3 separate regions of the Mus musculus genome follow, and all the other regions are reported to be linked to region 3. The links are microRNA targets in miRTarBase. Many come from high-throughput screens and were not tested one by one. Region 3 holds a microRNA gene; each other region holds the end of a gene's coding sequence.
What was found. The annotated mature microRNA mmu-miR-362-5p reads AAUCCUUGGAACCUAGGUGUGAAU and lies in region 3 at 1,989-2,012, opposite strand. An mRNA with a match to its seed (bases 2 to 7 or 8) in the 3' UTR can be bound and repressed. Matches are read on the target gene's strand: a 7mer-m8 pairs with bases 2 to 8, a 7mer-A1 pairs with bases 2 to 7 and ends in A, and an 8mer does both.

Region 1: miRTarBase lists Gpn1 as a target of mmu-miR-362-5p. Seed matches in the 3' UTR shown: 7mer-m8 at 2,528-2,534.
Region 2: the mRNA of Tapt1 is a reported target of mmu-miR-362-5p. The part of its 3' UTR that is shown has no 7-base or 8-base seed match.

The regions. Positions count from the first base shown.
Region 1 is chr5:31,510,639-31,513,646 of GRCm38, reverse strand. It overlaps Gpn1 (GPN-loop GTPase 1), which reads right to left. Exons shown (of 14, transcript NM_133756.5): 14 at 743-2,815. The coding sequence ends at 2,736. Among named protein-coding and RNA genes, the nearest start is that of Supt7l, 15 kb to the left of the region's middle.
Region 2 is chr5:44,174,283-44,177,290 of GRCm38, reverse strand. It overlaps Tapt1 (transmembrane anterior posterior transformation 1), which reads left to right. Exons shown (of 14, transcript NM_173764.3): 14 at 109-2,132. The coding sequence ends at 338. Among named protein-coding and RNA genes, the nearest start is that of Gm42427, 35 kb to the right of the region's middle.
Region 3 is chrX:7,240,031-7,244,650 of GRCm38, forward strand. Mir362 (microRNA 362) reads right to left here and starts at 2,016; the gene lies at 1,952-2,016. All of the region lies in intron 2 of Clcn5 (chloride channel, voltage-sensitive 5), which reads right to left. Mir501 (microRNA 501) reads right to left here and starts at 1,321; the gene lies at 1,213-1,321.

The DNA.
Region 1 (3,008 bases), not on the chromosome of region 3:
GTTACAGCTTAATTTTAAAATAGGATTTTTGATATTAATCTTTTTTAAGGCCTATTTATTTTATATATATGAGTACACTGTAGCTGTCTTCAGACACAGCAGATCCATTACAGATGGTTGTGAGCCACCATGTGGTTGCTGGGAATTGGAACTCAGGACCTCTGGAAGAGCAGTCTGTGCTCTTAACCACTAAGCCATCTCTCCAGCCCCTCAAATTAATCTTTAACACTCTTAAATCTATCCTGTTTTAATCTTGTGGTAGTTTGAAACTGGACCAAGGCTCATCTGGAATGGAGGTGTGGCCTTGCTAGAGTAGTCATGGTTTTGTTGGAGAAGGCCAGGCTTTGAGGTCTCATATGCTCAAGCCAGGTCTAGTGTCTCAGTTCTTTCCCTGCTACAAAGATGTAGAATTCTCAGCTACTCCAGCACCATGTCTGTTTTAAGAGTTGCTGAGGTGGTCATGGTTTCTCTCGACACGGAAATAGAAACCCAATAAGGCAGATCACATCTTCATTTTCATAAAGTGGCCAAGATGCAGTTAGTACACTGAATTCACTTAGGAAACAATCATTAAGCACCTCCATATTGTAGTATGTGTCCTCCGTTTCTCCCTCTCAGGATGTCCAGGTACTGCTGCATACCAGGCTGAAAGGATGAAGTGTAGTGGAGGGAGGAGGCAGCTTCCCCAGGGATTTTAGTTTATAGCTCTTTAGACAGTACTGAATGAATCTTAGCCAATCTTCGGTGAAACAGCTGGTGCACACACCTTTATTGGGGTGGGCTTGTGGACTTTATTCAGGAAGGACAAGGGATATATATGAACCATGGAGAGTGGGAAGGAGTTTCCAGGGTGATTGTAAAATCATTGGCTAGAGTTTAAAGTACTGTGAATGCCTCATTTGTATGGAGAAGTAGTCCATGAATGCCAGGTACTTTTGGGCGGGTTCTTATCCAGAAAGAGGAAGTTGCCTTTCCCAAGTAGAGGGGGTAGGGGTGTTGGGCTCCACAGGCTGCTGGTAAAGGGAGTTCTCCATTTTGCTCAGAGCTCAGAAGAGCTACCCAGATATTCTAGTCTGCAACATTAATTAGTTTCCCCACATCATATACTAGGTCTTGTACAAGTGATGTAAAGACAAGACCCTTAGAGAGCTGCCAGCAGGAGAGAGAGAGGTAACATTTTAAGAAAGAAAAGGAAAGGGCACCACGGAAAAGAGCTGAGCATGTCAGTTCCGCTCTGTGTATGGTTCCCCCTTAAAGAATAGGTCAAGCATGATAGCCCAGTCCTATAGGTCCCACACTCAGGAGGCAGAGGTGTCTTCATTTTTTTTTTTTTTTGGTTTTCCGAGACAGGGTTTCTCTGTGTAGCCCTGGCTGTCCTGGAGCTCACTTTGTAGACCAGGCTGGCCTTGAACTCAGAAATCCACCTGCCTCTGCCTCCCAAGTACTGGGATTAAAGGCGTGCGCCACCACGCCCAGCCAGAGGTGTCTTCTTTTTTAAGACATAGTCTCACTCTGTATGTCACCCTGACAGGTCTCGAGCTCACCTGTCTCTGCCTCCCACATGCTGGGATTAAAGACAGCCACCATGAAACCTGGCAGAAAGGTCTTTAAAAAAGAAAAGAAAAAGGTGAGGCTCTTTAGATCAGCATTTCCCACCAGCTATGGAATATTAAATAGTTAATGGTAAGATTTAATTCTGTGTTGCTTTGAAGTAACCCTGGAGAGAAGGCACCATGTGAAGCCGGGCAAGAAGCCGGAGAAGGCGCGTTAGGAGGACTGGGTGGCTGAGTCACCTGCCCTGGGGTTCAGTCACAGGCTGACCTGAAACAGTTCTGCAAAGAGCAAAGCAGTCACCTGGAAGGCTTATGAGCCAGCCTGCTGCGTCCCCACCCCCGACCCCGTTTCTAGGAAAGCTGATTTGGAGGTGTATCCATAAGAACTGCCTGGCTCGTGATTTTACTACACTCCTGAGAACCAGGGCAAATCCTAGCTCTGAATGGACGGAATGGACCAAATCCTGGTCACAAACAATGCTTTGTATTGTTCTAAGTACAATATAAGGACATGATTTTGGCCATGGTTAGGTGGATAGACATGGGAAACTAACCTACTATGCATTATATCCTACCAGACATGTCTTTAAGGCTTGGTCATAACTAATAGTGGGAAATCTATTAGTGATCACATACTTTCTAATATCAAACCATGACAGGAAAGCTTACCACAAAGTTAAAGTCAAAATCTTTATCCAAGTCACCATCCTAACAGTATTCTTGAAAATGGGCTACCTCGTGTGAGCACAGATCACATCCGACCTGGCTGCCCAGGGCACTGTGCTGCCCTCTGTACACACACACTCTCCTTTCCATCCTGCTGTGCCCACAGACCCAGCTAGTCAAGGTCCAAAGCGTCTCTGGGACAGACGTCCTCTCTGTCCATCAGCAGCAGAAATACTTGAGTTCAAACGATGATACTTGAAGTTATAGGCTCAGCAGCTATCTCTCAGCTTCCAGAGCGGTGAGAATACATCCTTGCATAAATATCGGGAGGAGCTACCCAAGAATGGGCATCCACCTGCCAGCTCCGCCTTCAACCAGACTTCATCTAAGCCCAGTTTCCCTCAGAGAAGTCACCATTTGGGAGAAAACTGCTCTTGACTGCAGCCCTGGTTCACAGGAAGGATGTCCTCTGCATGGAGACTCAGCACATCAGAGCTGTACAGCAGGTGGGAGGGCCTACTTGTTCCTCTTCCAGTGTGCCATTGACTCCTCCATGAAGTTCTGAAATGCTGGCTCTTCACGGCTTTCCTCTGTAACTGCAGGAGACAAGGGTGCTGTGTTTAAAACCTTCATAGTAGACAATGAATCAGAGCTCCTGTCATACACATACACACACACACACACACAGACAGAGAGACAGAGAGAGACAGAGAGAGAAAGAGAGACATACATTTTAAAATTATTTTTCACTTTTTCAAGACTGGGACTTGCTATGAATCCCAAGCTGGC
Region 2 (3,008 bases), not on the chromosome of region 3:
TGGTGTATCTAAGAGGAAAGATGACAGATACTTTCCAGTACTCTGAAGACATAAGTAGTTTGATGAGTTTTTGCTGTGACTGAAGAGAAATTATCTCCTTTTCCACAGGCCTTTCCACAGAAGAAAACCTGTCTGCCTCCGTCACCAGCCAGCCTGGTCATCAGAAAGAAAACGTCATACCTTTACTCGTGACTAGCAATTCTGATCAGTTCCTGACAACCCCAGATGGTGATGAGAAGGACATAACACAGGAAAATTCTGAGTTAAAGCACAGATCCTCAAAGAAAGACTTGTTAGAAATAGACAGGTTCACAATTTGCGGGAACCGGATTGACTGAGTTTGTGACTAATGAGATGAAGATGTCAGGCCCCGGGCCACAAATTCTGGGTGCCAGGACACTTGCTAAAAATGGCACTTAAATATTTATTTAAAAACTTAAATTATTAATGGCAAGCAAATCTTAGTATCTTTCTTCCAGTAATGTGGCCTTGCAGAAGGGCAGATCACGGAGCAGCGGTGGCCTCTGGCCCTGACTCTGGATGCTGACACTTGAACACTTCCTCCTGCGTGGCCAACAGCAGTGCTGCTTCCAGCACCTGGCCAAGCACTGCAGAAGCTCCTTTCCTTCGTCAGCCTGGGCTTCCAGATCGTCGGGTTCTCCTCAAGGCCTCTTCAGGATAAGGACACACCTGGGAAACTGTGACGCTTCTACCATGAGTTCCCTTTCCAGCCTCAGACTGTCTCCACACACTCTTTCCAGACTTGACTCCATCTGCCAAAGCATTGACAAGTTGCTACATCTAAGTCCAGATGACGTTCTTACCACCAGAGTCATCCTTGGCAATACATCTGAGCTAGTCAGAACAGAAGGCCACTTAACTACAACGTGGTGAATAGCAGCGTCCTATGAGAAACAGTGAGCTCTTGGCCCAGTCATTTACTTTATAAAGGTCATGTGTCACTGAGAAATGCTTCCTGCTGCCTCGGTTACTCAGGGCAGAGTGTGAGCTGTGTGACACGGGCCCAGTGACAATAAAAGGCACAGAGCAATGTCAACAGAGTAAAAGGCACAAGTGCAGTGTGACCTGGCTTTGCTTTAAGGCTAATTGCTTCATTGGTTATTCCAAGTTAAAGGATTTGGTGTTGAATTGGCGAATAGCCATTGCATAGCTGTTGCTAGTGCCAGGCTCGTTTGTTGGGTTTTGTTTTGGTTTGAGTAACAGTTTTAAAGTATTCCCAGCAGATTGAGCAGTGTCACCTTGCTGGGCTTGTAAAATGCATTTGTCTGCCTGTGGGTCTGTTCTGTGTGGGGAGGAAACCCTCACATGACCGACCGACCGTAAGTAGAGTGTTTGGGACACTGTAACTAGCAACCAAAAGGTGCTCTGGGGTTTTCATCTGAGATAAAGATGTTATTCCTGCTTCATTACTACCTATTAGCATCCCAGGACAAATTCTCGACACCCTACTTTATCTTAAGAGTCTGTTCTGCACTTCTCTTAGACAGAAAGTTGACCATTTCTGATCTGAACTGTCTAAAAGATGGTACTCTTAACTTCATTTCCTATGCTGTCTTCTGAAACTCAGCTCTCATGCAAATATTTGGGCACAGATGGCAAATTTTAAATGGTTTGCTGTATCCTGGATAAGTATAAAACTAGTTTGGATGCTTTGGCTTATGCATTTGAGATTCAGGAGGGTTTCTAATGTTTTGCACTAACAGAATCTAAAGATAGCTGTTGGAGATACTATATATTTATGCCTTGTAAAGCCAGGAAGCAATTTTAAGTTTAAAATGAACATTTTTATTCTTTTGTGTATGTTTTAGTGGGGCCCCACTTTTAAACTATTCTTTTTACCGAAAGAGAGTGTCCATGGAAACCAGGAGCCGTGTGGAAAAAGCTTTGCCAAACGCAGCCCTGGTCAGAACAAGAGCACGACCTAGGTGTATCTTTCTGTTCCGCTTGAGTTTTCTGTTTCCGCGCTGTTCTCTGAAGATTGCATTTCCTTTGCAGATGCTCTTGGGAGTGTGGATGATACTCACTTCTGTCATAATGGCATTCAGTACTAATTTTATAAGTGCATCTTGTGTGAAACTCAATAAATTCAATTTTATAATCTTTTTTAAAAAGGTCACTGAATTTCTTGTGGCAACGATTACTATTATATTTGTTGGAATGGATATCTCATTGAGAGATTTCTTATTTAAGCAGAACTTATTTCTAGTTTACAAATAATAGGGTTGTGTTAAGTATGTTTAGTTACTCTTGCCCTAAATGATAAAAAAAAAATTGCTCTTTTGTCTTTGAAAGAATAGCCTGCATGTTGGTCATAGACCATTTAGTATCTCTTATCACATGACAACATTTGCATTCTATGGTGCATCTTGATGTCACAGTGTCTTCTTGTCATAATATGGGAGTCACAGTCAAGACAATACTTTGGTTTTTAAATAGTCTTAGTATGGTGCACGGTACATCAGACCCATTTTAGCTTTTCCTACAGGTCAAAGTACCAAATGCTATTGATGAATGTATCTTGGCTCCCTGTGGTCTTGTGCCAGCATTTGAAAAAAGTATGCTTGAATCAGCTTCTCAGCATCTGCCTCACCCACTCTGTGCCACCTGCCCTGCCACCTCTGCTAGCTCAGCAGAGATGAGTTCACAAGATTGCCTTAAAGTACTTTATTTTCATATGCCTCAGCTCTAAGTGTTTTTCCCACAGTGATTTCTTAGTTGTTTCCTCTGTCAGGAACTGCCCAGAGCAAGGGATAGCAGGAGACAGCAAGGTCTCTGCCTGCTGGACACAACTGGACATTGGTCGAGTATGTATGGCAGACCAAGGATAGCACAGTTCACGTCGTGGTGTCAGGCTGATCTTTCCCTGTGCTGTGTGCTTAAGGTCATCTGGTAGCAGTTTCCCAGAGCTTTCTAAAAAGGGGTGAAGAGAGAGGAAAAGAATTTTCACCAAATACTGCTAGTTGCCTGCCAGACTCTGGCCTTCCTGC
Region 3 (4,620 bases):
CCTGTGAGCGAGTGACTCCTCTCCACGTAGGCCCATGTGTTTAGGCATATCTAGGGCCATGGGAGGGGGAATAGTTTGAGAAATCTCATCTATCAGACCCTGCACTGAGTCATTCATACAGAATAGAAAACAAGGAACAATAGACCTAGGTCATTCTTTTGAACAGCAGTTGGTGAGTCTATAATAGTCAAGGATCTTAGTGTGTTTATTAGTCTCCTAAGAGAGTAGCACCTCTGTTCATTTTGTTTCCTGCTACATCCTCTATGACTAACAGAGCTGTATCAAATAGTGCATACCTGAATATTTGTGAAAGGAAGGAAAAGGAACAGGGGTGTGGACATATAGGGGCTCTGTCCTTTAAAGTGCAGGCGAAGTGCCACCCTTTGGATTCCTTGGACAGGACTTACTATTGAAAACAGCACTTGTGCTGAGGATTAATGTTCCTGATGAATCAGGTCAGATAATCCTCTCTGTGGGCACAAGTCTGTGAATCCTCTCCTCTGTATACACTGCATTTATATGGGACTGTGTTAAAATATGGAAGAATCCAAGTGGACAGTGTACATGAAGTCCCAGTCTACAGTCCACTCATGCAGGCATAATGGATGTGACACAGCTCACTCTCCCTGGACCATTTGCTCCCTGAACCACATGTGGTTCATACTCCTGTGGACCAAATCCCTAGTTGAGTACCTGCCATACTGAATAAATAGACAGGAAACAGTGGAAGGAGGCGTAAAGGTCCTACATGAAGATAACTCAATGTCTGAACCCTTGCCCAGGTATATTGCATTCGCAAAGCACACTCATCCAAGTAGCAAGTACTAGAAAGGCACAGCCTGCACCTATGCCCTTGGCATGTGGGTTCAACAAGAAGGCTTACTGTTCTTGCCCTGTGCATTCCTCCAAGAGTTGAACTAAAGAAGAATTTCTCTTCCAGGTGTCGGTATGAGAACTAGAATGAAAAGCTGCGCACTTATGTCAATACACAGTTTACTATGTGCCCCACTTGTTCTTGATACCTGTTAGGGTCATAAGTGGAAATAAAGTTCTACCTATAAAATCTAGGTGGGAAGAGGCCAAATTTGTCACATTTACTCTCCCATGCACCATGCCCGTTGTATTTGTAGAAGGAAAGAAGGTGGGGGGAGGCATAAAAGAAGTATGCAAGCAGCAAACAGATGAGATATGATGCACAGACCTCCTGTCCTTCTCCATGCAGATCAGGCTCACCTTCCCCAAATCCTTGCCCGGGTGCATTGCATACAAATAGCATTTTCACCCAGGGACAAAGGATTAGAGAGGATGAGCAGAGCAGAAGGCCCAGGCACCTGTACCATGTTTGTGTGGTTCTGTATATAATATTTAATTTTCCTTGTCCTGATTCAGCCAAGCATCACCACCTATACCCAAGCTTGACATCCCTGATTTATATATGTATCTGCCCCCTTCCCACCATGAGCATCCTCTCTCAGAGAAAACTTCTACGTATACAAAATGGTATCTCTCCCAGATCATACTTGAGAATTTGTGGGGGCCTGATTTATGTTTGGAAGGTAGCAAGAAGGCTGGGATCTGAGAATGCATATACATACTGAAAGAGGGCACAGTGGAGGAGGATACTCCATTCCTTTCCAATGCCTTTATACAATTCAAGCTTTGTGGAACAGGGGTTATCACTGGATGTAACAAACGGGTTGCCTGAGTAGCAGCACCTAATGTGTGCTCCTCATCACATGATCTGACACTTAGCAAACTGGGAATCAAGAAAGCTCATGCTGAGAATAGAAGCATGTCTACCAAACATGATAAAGACCATTTTGCTGTTAGAAAATGTGTAGAACCAAGTCTGACAGCTAAAACCAAAATCAAATGGTGGCCAGGAGGAGGGAAGGTGGCAGGTGAGATGTGCAAGTATGGGCCATTCTACACGCAGACAAGGCTCAGCCTCTTTGAATCCTTGAACAGGTGTGTTGCACTGAAGCAGCATTCACACCTAGGTTCCAAGGATTCGAGAGGGGGAGCAAGCAAGAAGGCTCAGGAACCTGCCCTTCCTGTGTGTGGTCAATATGCTTGTGTGCAACACACTAAAAGAGAACGAGAGATGCGCTCTGTCCTTTACAAACACAAAGGTCTGGCTCTCAGAATCCTTGCTGAAGAACACTCTCACCCAGGTAGCAAGGATCAGAGAACTGAAGCAGGGCAAAAGGCTCACAGCAAATGAACGCATGGGCTCACCTTTGACACAAGGTGCTTATCTGTGATGAGAAAGAAGACAATGTTCTTGAGCTTCACATTAAGTATGTCTAGGCACCTGAGTTCAACTCCCAGCCTCCACATAAAAGAGCCAAGCGTGAGGACTCAAAGAAAGCTAGATCCCTTGGCCTAACTGGTGAGTGCCAAGTCCCTATTAGAGACTGTTTCAAAAAACAGGGTAGATGTCCCCAAAGGGGAAGCACCTCAGGTTGACCTCTGCACCCTCCACACACATACACAGAAAGAGAGAGAGAGAGAGAGAGAGAGAGAGAGACAGAGTGACAGACAGACACAGAGACAAAGAGAGACAGAGACAGAGAGACAGACAGACAGACAGACAGACAGAGACAGAGAAACCTGTCTAAATATATACATTCATATTTTGTTCTGAGATTATAAAAATATAAAGCCAGAGATACAAAATACTGAAAGAAAAAAAGACAGAGAGACAGAGAGAAGAGGCCATAAGCTCACAAGATGGCAGTAGAGATTGGCATCCTTTAACACACATCAGCATCTTGTTAAAGTTACTTCAGATACCTGGAGGACTTGGTACTAAGATAACTTACAGAGGTTTCTCATTAGTGAGCTCAAGATTTTGTATTTCTAAAAGGGGCTGGGTGATGCTGGGGACCTTACCAGCATCATGGATAAGACAGAGAAACTGTGGAGTTTGGTATCTACAAACCCTGTTTCAAACCTATACTTCACCATGTACTGGATTAAAGAATCTACCTGCTTTCTCCAAGGTCATGGACTACTTCTAAAAAATGAGAATAACAAATGCTATCTCTTTAAAGAGTACCAAAAAAATTAGGTAAGATGCAAGCCTAGAGTAGGATGCAGGACCTGGCCCCTGGCTATTATTTTTACCTCTTACACTACCATTTTTGTACACATGTGTCTAAATGAATGTCCTGTTTACAATAGTATGGTCATACTCATATATGCAAAAGCCAGGTGAAGGAGGCATGAATATCAGTGACTCGGAGAATCTGTAAAAGGCAATGCAAGGACTGGCTCTCTGGTAATTCTTCTTCAATGTGCCTAAATCAACGAAGTTCACACCCCTTTCTGTGAGGGATATGAAAGACAAAATCACAAGTTTCAATCTTTCACTTTCCTACTATATGTCACAGAGAGTGAAGAGAGTCAGGAGTAAGGAGAGAGGGGAGAAGTAGAGAAGGGGGGAGAGCGAATATAAATGAATGACAGTAAGGCATTTTTCTCTATGAGAAAACAAGTGTATCAAACAAAAGAAACCTTCTATGCTCACGGGCCTATATATGATGTACACCTAGCTATAGATGGGCTTCATTCATATTTGTTCTCCTATCTACCCAGCTGATGCAAAAGCATATCTATGACTGTCTAGGTATGTGTTTACAAAAATGTCAGTGTTAACAAACAAGTATACCTTCCTATAACAGCTCCGTCAAAGATGAAAACCAAGAGAGCCCACTACCCTTCCTTAGAGGTGTAAGAGAACAAGGTTAGGGGAGCAGGACTCTGTTCCTGCTAAGCTGTCAGTGGGCCTCTGCATTTGAAGGTTGCCTATGTGTGCTGAGAACGTGATGAATCAGGTTTGACACTTAGAAAGTGGAGGCTAAAGTAAGGAAGTGCATCCTGCAGCTTCTCAGGCATGTATATGTGATCGTACACAGTGAGAATGATTTTCATCCTCCTGTATGCACATGCTACAAAGACTGGACTGCCCAACTTACCACTGGCTCCACATATCAGCACACTATCATACAATCAGAACTATAGTCACATACTACATGGTGTTTGGTAAGCCACAAACTACATATACAATAGTAGTCACATAACATTTCATCACCTAGTAATCCTTATTAGTTTAACTATACACTCCCATGGTGGTTTAATAAAAATTGCCCTCACAGGTTCATATACTGGAGTGCTTGGTCCCTAGTAGGTAAAGCTGTTTTGGGAAGGATTAGAAGGTGTGGTGTGGCCTTGTTCGAGGAGTCAGCTCACTAGAGGTAGACATTAAGCTTTCAAAAACCCCAAGCCAGGCCCAAGCTTGTTTGTGTTCATGTTCTCTTTCTCTCTTCTCTCTCTCTCTCTCTCTCTCTCTCTCTCTCTCTCTCTCTCTCTCTCTCTCTCTCTCCATCAATATCTCCCCTGCCTCTGCCTCTAACTTGCAATAAGATATGAGCTCCCAGCTCTTGCCCCAGCATCATGCCTGCCTGCTTGCTGCCATGTTCCCTACCATGATGGTCATAGACTCACACTGAAATTTTAATAAGCCCCCAATTAAATTGTTTCCTTTATAAGTTGCCTTGGTTATGGTGTCTCTTCTCAGCAATAGAACAGTAACTAGGCAACTCCATAATATTCATA